Oryctolagus cuniculus: one gene and its partner. Each later gene encodes a partner of the first gene's protein in a complex. Links are inferred from orthologs where the notes say so. Each region holds a gene or a part of one and is shown in the gene's direction. Other genes may lie near its edges.

Evidence for each region. The genes of interacting proteins can lie anywhere in the genome.
Region 2: the proteins of WDPCP (region 1) and FUZ are in contact, whole or in part, in a cryo-EM structure (PDB 7Q3D), measured with the Homo sapiens proteins. The link is inferred for Oryctolagus cuniculus from reciprocal best matches to the Homo sapiens genes WDPCP and FUZ. Residues at the interface, in NP_056994.3 of Homo sapiens: Arg55, Ile57, Asn75, Lys78, Leu82, Glu418, Asp419, Arg420, Leu421; in NP_079405.2 of Homo sapiens: His293, Glu372, Glu373, Pro374, Arg379, Gln397, Pro399, Thr400, His401, Gly402, Ser405, Leu406.

What each region holds. Positions count from the first base shown.
Region 1 is NC_091433.1:139,485,082-139,489,342, forward strand, and holds part of WDPCP (WD repeat-containing and planar cell polarity effector protein fritz homolog), read left to right. Parts: intron 1-1,992; coding exon 1,993-2,116; intron 2,117-4,261. UniProt on the Homo sapiens protein: Probable effector of the planar cell polarity signaling pathway which regulates the septin cytoskeleton in both ciliogenesis and collective cell movements.
Region 2 is NC_091449.1:7,739,867-7,744,799, forward strand, and holds the start of FUZ (protein fuzzy homolog), read left to right. Parts: upstream 1-1,535; 5' UTR 1,536-1,793; coding exon 1,794-1,904; intron 1,905-2,081; coding exon 2,082-2,203; intron 2,204-2,875; coding exon 2,876-2,960; intron 2,961-3,036; coding exon 3,037-3,105; intron 3,106-3,193; coding exon 3,194-3,298; intron 3,299-3,602; coding exon 3,603-3,800; intron 3,801-3,888; coding exon 3,889-3,984; intron 3,985-4,084; coding exon 4,085-4,191; intron 4,192-4,264; coding exon 4,265-4,329; intron 4,330-4,440; coding exon 4,441-4,515; intron 4,516-4,933. UniProt on the Homo sapiens protein: Probable planar cell polarity effector involved in cilium biogenesis. May regulate protein and membrane transport to the cilium.

The sequences.
Region 1 (4,261 bases):
CCCCTGCACCCACATGGGATACCTGAAAGAAGCTCCTGGCTTTGAATTGGCCCAGCTCTGGCCATTGCAGTCATTTGGGGAGTGAACCAGTGGATAGAGGACCTTTGGACCTCTCTCTGCCTCTGCCTCTCTGTAACTCTGCCTTTCAAATAAATAAATAAATGAGTAAATCTTAAAAATTTATAACACCAAGATTTTAGGTAACAAGGTATTATTGTAATATTTCTGCTTAAAGAGTTGTCTCAGATAATTATTTTTTAGTATTAATACATTGTCAAAATTGGGAACATCCCTAAAGAAAACCCATTATGATTCATGCAATCTATATAAGATATCTTTCATTTACAATTCAAGAAGAATTATGGAAAAGATAAAATGTTGACTGTCAGGACCCTGAGAAATCACTAGCACCTTAGTGAATTTTTGTTGTAAGATTACTGTGTTGTAACAAAGATTATTAGGGAATAAACAAATGGACATTATCAGATTCTTGCCTTAATAAAGAATATTTTCAAAGGACCATATTGGGGAGATAGCAAAATAAAAAGCTTGTATGATACTAGGCTATTAAAATAAAATGCTTTTGTGATGCTGGGTTATCAGAATATGTGCATTTTAAGTAGATATGTGCATTTCCCCCCAAGTAACTGCAAAAACACATTTCTAAAACATTCAGAATTCTTTTCTGTTGAGATTTATTCTGTCTGAATCTAACAAATTTGACATGGTAATTTGTTTTCCTTTTATTAGTGGAACCCAGTGAGCTTTTATTTGTAGCTGTGTTGTGGTTATCTTTGAGATCTTCATTTCTGCCTTAAACATCAAGCTGGGCTATCTAATGAATCTGTAACTGTGCTGGGAGTTATGTGTATTCCATGTAGGTTCGAACATTTCAGATATACGAAACATGCTGTCAAGAAAACAAGCAATGGCAAGAGAATCTGGCTTGTTTTCACAATAGCTTTGCTGTATTCAATTTTAATCTAAATTGACTGCTGCTTTGAAAGAAAATACCCCTAAAGTTCATCTTACTTTACTGTCTAGATTTGAGATTTAAAACGAAATTACCAACAGCTTTGCCAACTGCATAGCAATTACTCTGATGAGGTATTTAATACTTTCAAACCCAAATATGCCTAAACCTGAAGAGTTTTGCTAAATAAAGAATTGTTTATTCAACCCAGTGCTGGTAGCATAAGAATCTGAAGAGTCTTACTGTGAGCTGCTGTGGTGTTCCCATACATACTCCTACTCTCACCATTATGGTAATTGCTTAACTTTCAGGTATTGCTGGGAAGAGGCACATCTTCATAGGCATGTCTGATAACATTGTGAAGTAGATAAAATGTGCCTTCTTTCCTATTCTCTAGTCCTCTGGTTTATCAAAACTTGCTCTCCAGTCCTTTTCTCTCCCTCTTTGGGGTGTTAACTTTCACCCCTGGACAAAACCAAGAATCTTATTTAGGGTAGTATTTAGAGAGGAAGATCTAGGGACTCCACTGTTCTTTTAAAATTGTGACAGTTGTTCTTCCTACAATTAGACCATTTTTTAATTTGAATTATTTTTAGAAACATTTCTACTATACTGATTGCAATTTCCAGTGTGAAAAAGGTTAGTTATCTCCTTTCAGCTAAAGATAGTAAATGTTGAGCACACTGTGAGTTGCTTTTACTGGAAATACTAGTTCAAACTGTGTTACTTTGATGAGTCACTGTTTTAATTACCCATTTGTGGTGAGAGGTTGGTTCATTATGGATTTCTTCAGTTTTGACAGCTTTTTGTTGCTCAGAGTCATTGTCAGCTTTGCCTCAAGTGAAAGTTTATACATAGGTTTGTTTTTGTACCAGCTGTCATATTTTAATTTCGTCTTTCCTGCAACAAGCTCACATTTCATCCAAGTTTGCAAAACCTGACTGACTGCAAACATGAGTATTCTGTTGTAATTGAAGGAGTTTCACTTGTTTTAACGCTGCTATGTTTGAATTCCACAGCACAGCTTGAGGCAAGCCTTGGAACCTTCTATGCTCCAACAAGACCACTTCTGGATTCAACTGTTTTGGAATATAGAGACCAAATCAGCAAATATGCAAGGAGATTCTTCCATCACTTGCTCAGGTGAATGATACTTTTGGATTGATTAAGGTTGTGTTAAAAGTTACATATTTCAGGGGTCAACTTCTTTAATTAGCATACTCTGTATAACATGACTGTTTACTAATAGTCTAACTCTTGAAGAAAAACAAACTTTTCTTGGTATTCTTTGTTCAGTTTTCCTATTAAGGAAATATTTGATTATTGTTTAGGATTTTACATTATCAGTATTCCTTAATATACCTTCTACTTTAATATGAAAGCAAAATACCAGCTATGTAAAGTCAGTATAAATATATTCCTGGCACTAGAGAAATATTTTCATTTTTAACTAAAAGTATGAATTGCGATAAAGCTCTGGGACAGTAATTGGTTTCCTTTGCTTTCAGAATTACTGTAGAAATTTTGTGCATTGTCCTCTCATATAATGTAGGAAGTTGGAGCTTCACCATATCTAATGTTTTTTATTTCTGAGGATAATTAATGAATTTGTATCGTGTCTGTAGAGCTCCCAAAATGAACATGAATGAAAAAGACATTTTGTAGGTAACGTAGTGTCTTCACTTTGTCTCCAACCTCTCTAATTTCATGAAGTTATTTTTCTATAAGCATCATGTTTTATAACCCTTATATTGGCCCTTGGAAGCTCATATTCTAATGTGCAATTTTTTTTCTTCATTGGCCGTCCTCATATGCAGTTTTCTAGTTAGTTATTGGATGTACTTTGATGATGTGACTATTATTAGATTCTAGCTTTTCATCTGGAATTGAATATTTTCCATTGGGGTTTTCTAGTTTGTCATGTTTCTCTTTTTGAGTGCTTTCTATTTCAGTTACAATGAGTGTTTATTCTTGTTTTAAGGAAAAAAGATTTATTTATTTTGAAAGTCATAGTAACAGAAAGAGGGAGAGACAGAGATGTTTCATCCACTGGTTCACTCCTAAGATGGCTGCTATGGCAGGCACTGGGATGGGTTGAAGCCAGGAGCTTTATCCGGGTCTCCCACGGGGGTGGCAAGGGTCAAACCCTTGGGCTATCTTATGCTTCTTTTCTAAGACATATTAGCACAGATCTGTTTTGGAAGTAGAGCAGCTGGGACTTGAACCAGTGCCCACGTGAGATGCTGTCATTACAGGTGGTGGCTTTACCCACTATACCACAACATCAGCACCTTAATAGTTTTTTTGCTAGTAGGTTATACATAGCATTATGAAAAAGAAAAGTAAATTTACAAGAAATAAAATGAGGAGATGGTGTTGTGGTACATCCCACATGCGCACTGGTTCAAGTTACAGCTGCTCCACTTCTAACCCAGCTCCCTGCTAATTTGTCTAGGAAAGCAGTGGAAGATGCCAAGCACTTAAGCTTCTGCCACCCACATGGGAGATGCAGATGGAGTTCTAGGTTCCTGACTTCAGTCTGGCCCAATCCTGACTCTTGCAGCCCTTTGGGGAGTGAACCAACAGATGAAAGATCTCCCTGTCTCATGCATATGCTCTCACTCTTGCTCTCTCTGTCACACTGCCTTTCAGATAAGTAGAATTTTTTTTAGAAAGAAGAAATTAAACGAGATAGCTTAAGTTAAAATCAATCATTTGTTTAATCTGCTGCCAGAATTTCTCCTGCCTGGGGGTGATAAAAAAAAAGCCAAATGTCCTTTTGTATTTGTGAAGGCTAGAATTGTCTTTAGGCTAGTGATTATTTTAATAATCTGAAAAAGTTATTAGATGATATAATCATCCTAAACAGTAAAGACCATGATAAGAATTATTTAAAAACTCATTTATTTATTTATTTGAAAAGCAAAGCTAGAGAGAGAGAAGAGGAGGAGGGGGAGGGAAAGGGAGAGAGGGAGGGGAAGGGGAAGGGGAAGGGTTCACTCCTCAAATGGCCTCAGCAACCAGGTCAGAGCCATGTTGAAGCTAGGAGCCAGGCTGAAGCCAAGAGCCAGGAGCTCCATCCTGATTTCCCCATGGGTGCAGGGCCCAAGTATTTGGGCCATCTTTAGCTCTCTTCCCAGGCAGGAGGCTGAATTGGAAAAGGAGTAGCCTGTATTGGAACCAGCACTCTGATATGGGATGCTGGTGTCCCAGATGGTGGCTCAGTCAGCTCTACCACAATGCTGGCCCCACATCATAAGCAATTTTAAGTTAAAGATTGTTAAAATG
Region 2 (4,933 bases), on another chromosome or scaffold:
TGCCTTTCAAACCTTTTTTTTTTTTCATTAAAAAAGGATCTTACTTGACTGTAACTCTGCCAAAATAAATACGTATATAGTAACATTTCAATGGCAATCACTAAAATTAAAAGAGAAATAAGTGTATAAATTTGAAATCAGAATAAGAATGGATTGAGAAAAAAATATTTAATCCAGAAAAAAGAGATAAAAAGCACTTTAGAATCGGAACAGAGGAGTCATAATAAAGGAAGGCAAGGAAAATTCACTGAAGACAGGGCGAAATTGATAGTCTATTTTTCAAATTATTCTTTGCATGTTTATTTTTTTGACAGGCAGAGTTAGAGAGACAGAGAGAAAGGTCTTCCTTTGCTGTTGGTTCACCCTCCAATGCCCGCCGCGGCCGGCGCACCGCGCTGATCCGATGGCAGGAGCCAGGTGCTTCTCCTGGTCTCCCATGGGGTGCAGGGCCCAAGCACTTGGGCCATCCTCCACTGCACTCCCTGGCCACAGCAGAGAGCTGGCCTGGAAGAGGGGCAACCGGGACAGAATCCGGCGCCCCGACCGGGACTAGAACCCGGTGTGCCGGCGCCGCAGGCGGAGGATTAGCCTAGTGAGCCGCGGCCGGCCAGCATGTTTCTTCCTCGGAAGTCTGGGACCTGATGGAACTCCCGGCCCCGGCTGCTCCTGTCCAGTGCTGGCCGCGGCAGGCACTGGGGGAGTGGCTCAGTGCATGGACGATGCCCCCCCACCGCCTTTCAAATATAAATAAATCTGAAAAAAAAGAAAAAACCCACATGGGAATGAACCTAATAGGTCAGTACAGGATTGCTCAAATGTCGCGGCCATAAATAACTGTAAGAAGACGTTTAAAAGTGGGATTTTATAAGTCTTGGTGGAGAAAGGGAACGTGAGGACGCTAGTGCGCGATGGCCTGTGAAGGCACGCCCGCTACCGCTCTCAGGGAGAGCAGCGGGAGAGGTGTCTTCACCAGCCCGCTGGGTGTAAACTCATCAAAAACAGTGTGTTTCAAATTCTGCACAAGAAAGGATCTATTTTTCCCTCTTTCTACTAACAACAACAACCCTCCCACGTGGCAGTTACTAGGCAACGCTCGGTGGGCCCAGCCTCCCTCGGAGGTGGGAGGGTGTTTTCCTCAATTTCGCCCTAAGAGGCTGCTCGGACTCCACACGCGTCCATCTTTGAGCAGGACACAGCTGTACAGCTTCGGCAGGCGTGGTTGCTAGGCGACCGCGCGGCGCTGTCGCCATCTTTGAGTGGGGCACGGTGTTGCCTATTATGAAAATCTGGACGGAACGTGGTTGCTAGGCAACGGCTTGGGGACGTCGCCATCTTTGATGGGGCATAGCTTTTTTTTTTTTTTCCAAGTTAGAGAACTTAATTCATAATAGCCTGCAGGATGGTTGCTGGGCAATGCCTTGGCACTGCAACCATTTGAAGCCAGCCTCTCTGTTGCCCTCGTTAAATAAATGAAGTCAAACCTCTTCGGGAAGAGACTACAAAGTTTTGCAGAAACAGCCGCCATCTTTATTAGGGGCATTGTGACTTCCGGCTGGGGCGGAAGAGAACCTGACGGGGTTGGCCGAGGGCTCCGGGATGAATAGGGATTGAGGTTCTGAGTTGCGTTGGAGGCGGCCGGAATTTAGTCCTTCTCCCATCGGCTTCCCCTTTCGCCCTCTGGCGTCTCGAGACTGCAGGCCGACTTAGTCTAGTTACCGGCCGGCTCAGAGCAGCTCTGGCCGCCCCACGGAGGGCTGCAGGGCCCGGGCCGGGGTCCGCAGGGGCTGTTCCCCATGGGCGAGGAGGGCACTGGGGGCGCCCTGCATCTGCTGTGCCTCGCGGCCAACAGCGGGGTCCCGCTGTTCTGTCGGAGCAGCCGCGGCGGCGCCCCCGCCCGCCAGCAGGTGGGGCCTCGGGACCTCGCGGGAGCTGGGCTGAGGAGGCTCCGGGGGCGTTTAAGGTCCCGCTCAGCCTGGTTCCCCAAAAAGGATATGAAAGGAGGAGGGGGCGAGGCTGGGACACTGGGGCTTCACAGTGAGGAGACAGGGCGGGGTGTCCCTAACGCCCCCACCCGTCCTCAGCTCCCGTTCTCTGTCATCGGCTCCCTCAATGGAGTGCACATGTTCGGGCAGAACCTGGAGGTGCAGCTGAGCTCTGCAAGGACTGAGGACACGACCGTGGTGTGGAGAAGCTTCCATGACAGGTCTCCAGGCGGGCGCAGGGGACAGGGCCCGGGTGACAGCCCTGGGGGACAGGGCCCGGGTGACGTACCTGGGGGCCCTCCAGGCGGGCGCAGGGGACAGGGCCCGGGTGATGGCCCTGGGGGACAGGGCCCGGGGTACGGCCCTGGGGGCCCTCCAGGCGGGACGCAGCGGGACAGAGCCTGGGGGACGGCCCCTGGGGGCCCTCCAGGCGGGACGCAGCGGGACAGGGCCCGGGTGACCGCCCCTGGGGGCCTTCCACACGGGACTTGCAGCCAGGGTCTGGGTGACGGCCCCTGGGGGCCCTCCAGGTGGGGCCTTGCTGCTGAGACGGGGCCTGGGTGATGGCCCTGGGGGCCCTCCAGGCGGGACACAGCGGGACAGGGCCCGGGTGACGGCCCCTGGGGGACAGGGCCCGGGTGACCGCCCCTGGGGGCCTTCCACGCGGGACTTGCAGCCAGGGCCCGGGTGACCGCCCCTGGGGGCCTTCCACGCGGGACTTGCAGCCAGGGCCTGGGGGCGCCCCTGGGGGCCTGCGGCTCTTGCAGGCGAGCTGTTTGGCTGTGGGGACGCGCAAGCCCGTTGCCCCGCCCCGCCCGAGGGCAGGCCGGGCTGAGGGCGGAGGCAGCCGCCGCCCCGGGACGCGCGTCCATCTTCTCCCGCGCCCTCCGCAGCATCACTCTCATCGCGCTGTGCTCTGAGGACGGCGCCTCGGAGCTGCGGCTGGAGCGACTGCTCCACGTGGTGTTCGGGGCCATGGTGAGTCTCGCCAAGCCCCGCCCCCTCGTGCGTGGCTCCTCCCCCAGCCCTCCTCGGACACGCGTGGCTCCTCCAGGTGCTCCTGGTGGGGCTGGAAGAACTGACCAGCGTCCGCAACGTGGAGAGGCTCAAGAAGGAGCTGAGGGTGAGGGGCGCGGGGGCGCCTGTTCCTGAGGGGCTGTGGCACATCTCGGGGCCACCTGGGTCTCAGCCACCCCCCCCCCCCCCGCCAGGCCAGCTACTGCCTCATCGACAGCTTCCTGGGGCACTCGGAGCTCATCGGGGACCTGACCCAGTGTGTGGACTGCGTGGTCCCCCCGGAGGGCGCCCTCCTGCAGGTACGGAGGGGCTCGGGCTCGTCCCGGTGGGTCTGGCCCGGCCCCCTTCCCCCTGGGCCCCGTCCCCACCTGCTTCTACCTCTCGCCCTCACCTGGCCCCAGAAAAGCCTGTCTACACCCAGAGCTTGTCCTGCCGGCCGCTCAGCCCCAGGCCACACCGCAGCCCGGCCGCGCGCTCTCCCTCCCACCTGGCGAGGCCACACTGCGGCTCCGGGCAGGTGGGCCGACCCCTCAGCCTCAGTCCACGGCGCGCGCCGCGAGTCCCCGGAGCCCCCTGCCCACGAGTGCCCACGCCCTCCCCCAGGAAGCCCTGTCCGGCTTCGCCGAGGCCGCGGGCACGGCCTTCGCCTGTCTGCTGACGTCCGGCCGGGTGGTGGCGGCGACAGAGGGCTGGTGGCGGCTGGGGACGCCCGAGGCCGTGCTGCTGCCCTGGATGGTGGCGTCCCTGGCGCCGCAGGCCGCGCGAGACTACCCGGTGTACCTGCCCCACGGGAGTCCCACGGTGAGCGGGCGGGTGGGCGCCGGCGGGGCGGGGGGGGGGGCGGGGCGGGGGGCGGCGGCGGGGGCTGCCACGCTGGGCTCTGCTTCAGGTCCCGCACCGGCTCCTGACGCTGACGCTGCTGCCCGGCTTGGAGCTGTGTCTGCTCTGCGGGCCGCGCCCGGCGCTGGGCCAGCTGGACCCACAGGTGACCCCCTGCCCCACCCCGCGCGCGCCGGCCCCGCCCCCAGCTCCCCCTCCCCTCCCGGCCCCGCCCCCGCGCGCCCCTCTGACCGCGCCCCCTGCAGCTCCTGGACCGCTGGTGGCAGCCTCTGCTGGACCCGCTGCGCGCCTGCCTGCCCCTGGGCCGCCGGGCGCTGCCCGCCGGCTTCCCGCTGCACACGGACGTCCTCGGGTAGGGCGCGGCGCGGCGCGGCGGCGGGCGGGGCCCGCATCCCCGTCCCTGGCGTGACGCCCCCTCCCCACAGGCTGCTGCTGCTCCACCTGGACCTGAAGCGCTGCCTCTTCACCGTGGAGCCCTTGGCGGATGAAGGTGGCCAAGGGGAGGGGCGGGGGCGGGAGGAGGGGTAGGGGGCGGGGCGGGGCGGGGCGGGGCGGGGCGGGGCGGGCCCTCCCTCCCTCACCCTGCCGTCCCTCCCCCCAGACCCTCCCCCGGAGCAGCGCCGGCGCCTCCTCCGCAACTTCTACGCCCTGGTCACAGCCACGCACTTCCCGCCAGGTCAGTGCCGGGCAGGGCTGGCCCTGCAGGGGAGCAGGACACAGGGAGGTCCGTGCCGTCTCCCGGCGGCCCTGGGTCGCCCCAGCACAGCCTCCTGCGTGAGGCTCAGCTACCGGCACGGCCTGGGCAGGGGTGGGGTGGGCGTGGAGCGCGGCTTCGGGTTAGGAAGGACAAACTGACTAGAGCCCACTGGCCTGAGACCCGGGAGGCCGCCTTGGGCAGCGGGGCGGGTGGGGAGGCAGTGGGCGGGGCCCTGCCCGGGGGCGGGGCTCCCGGCCCGGTGTCCAGCACCAGCGGGCATCACTAGGCGGCCTGAGGCGGGCAGGGCCCCCGCTGGGCAGGGGCGGGCGCTGCGGAGGGGCCGCCCAGGGCTTCCCTGCGCTCACCGGCACCCGAGGCCCTGCAGAGCCGGGGCCGC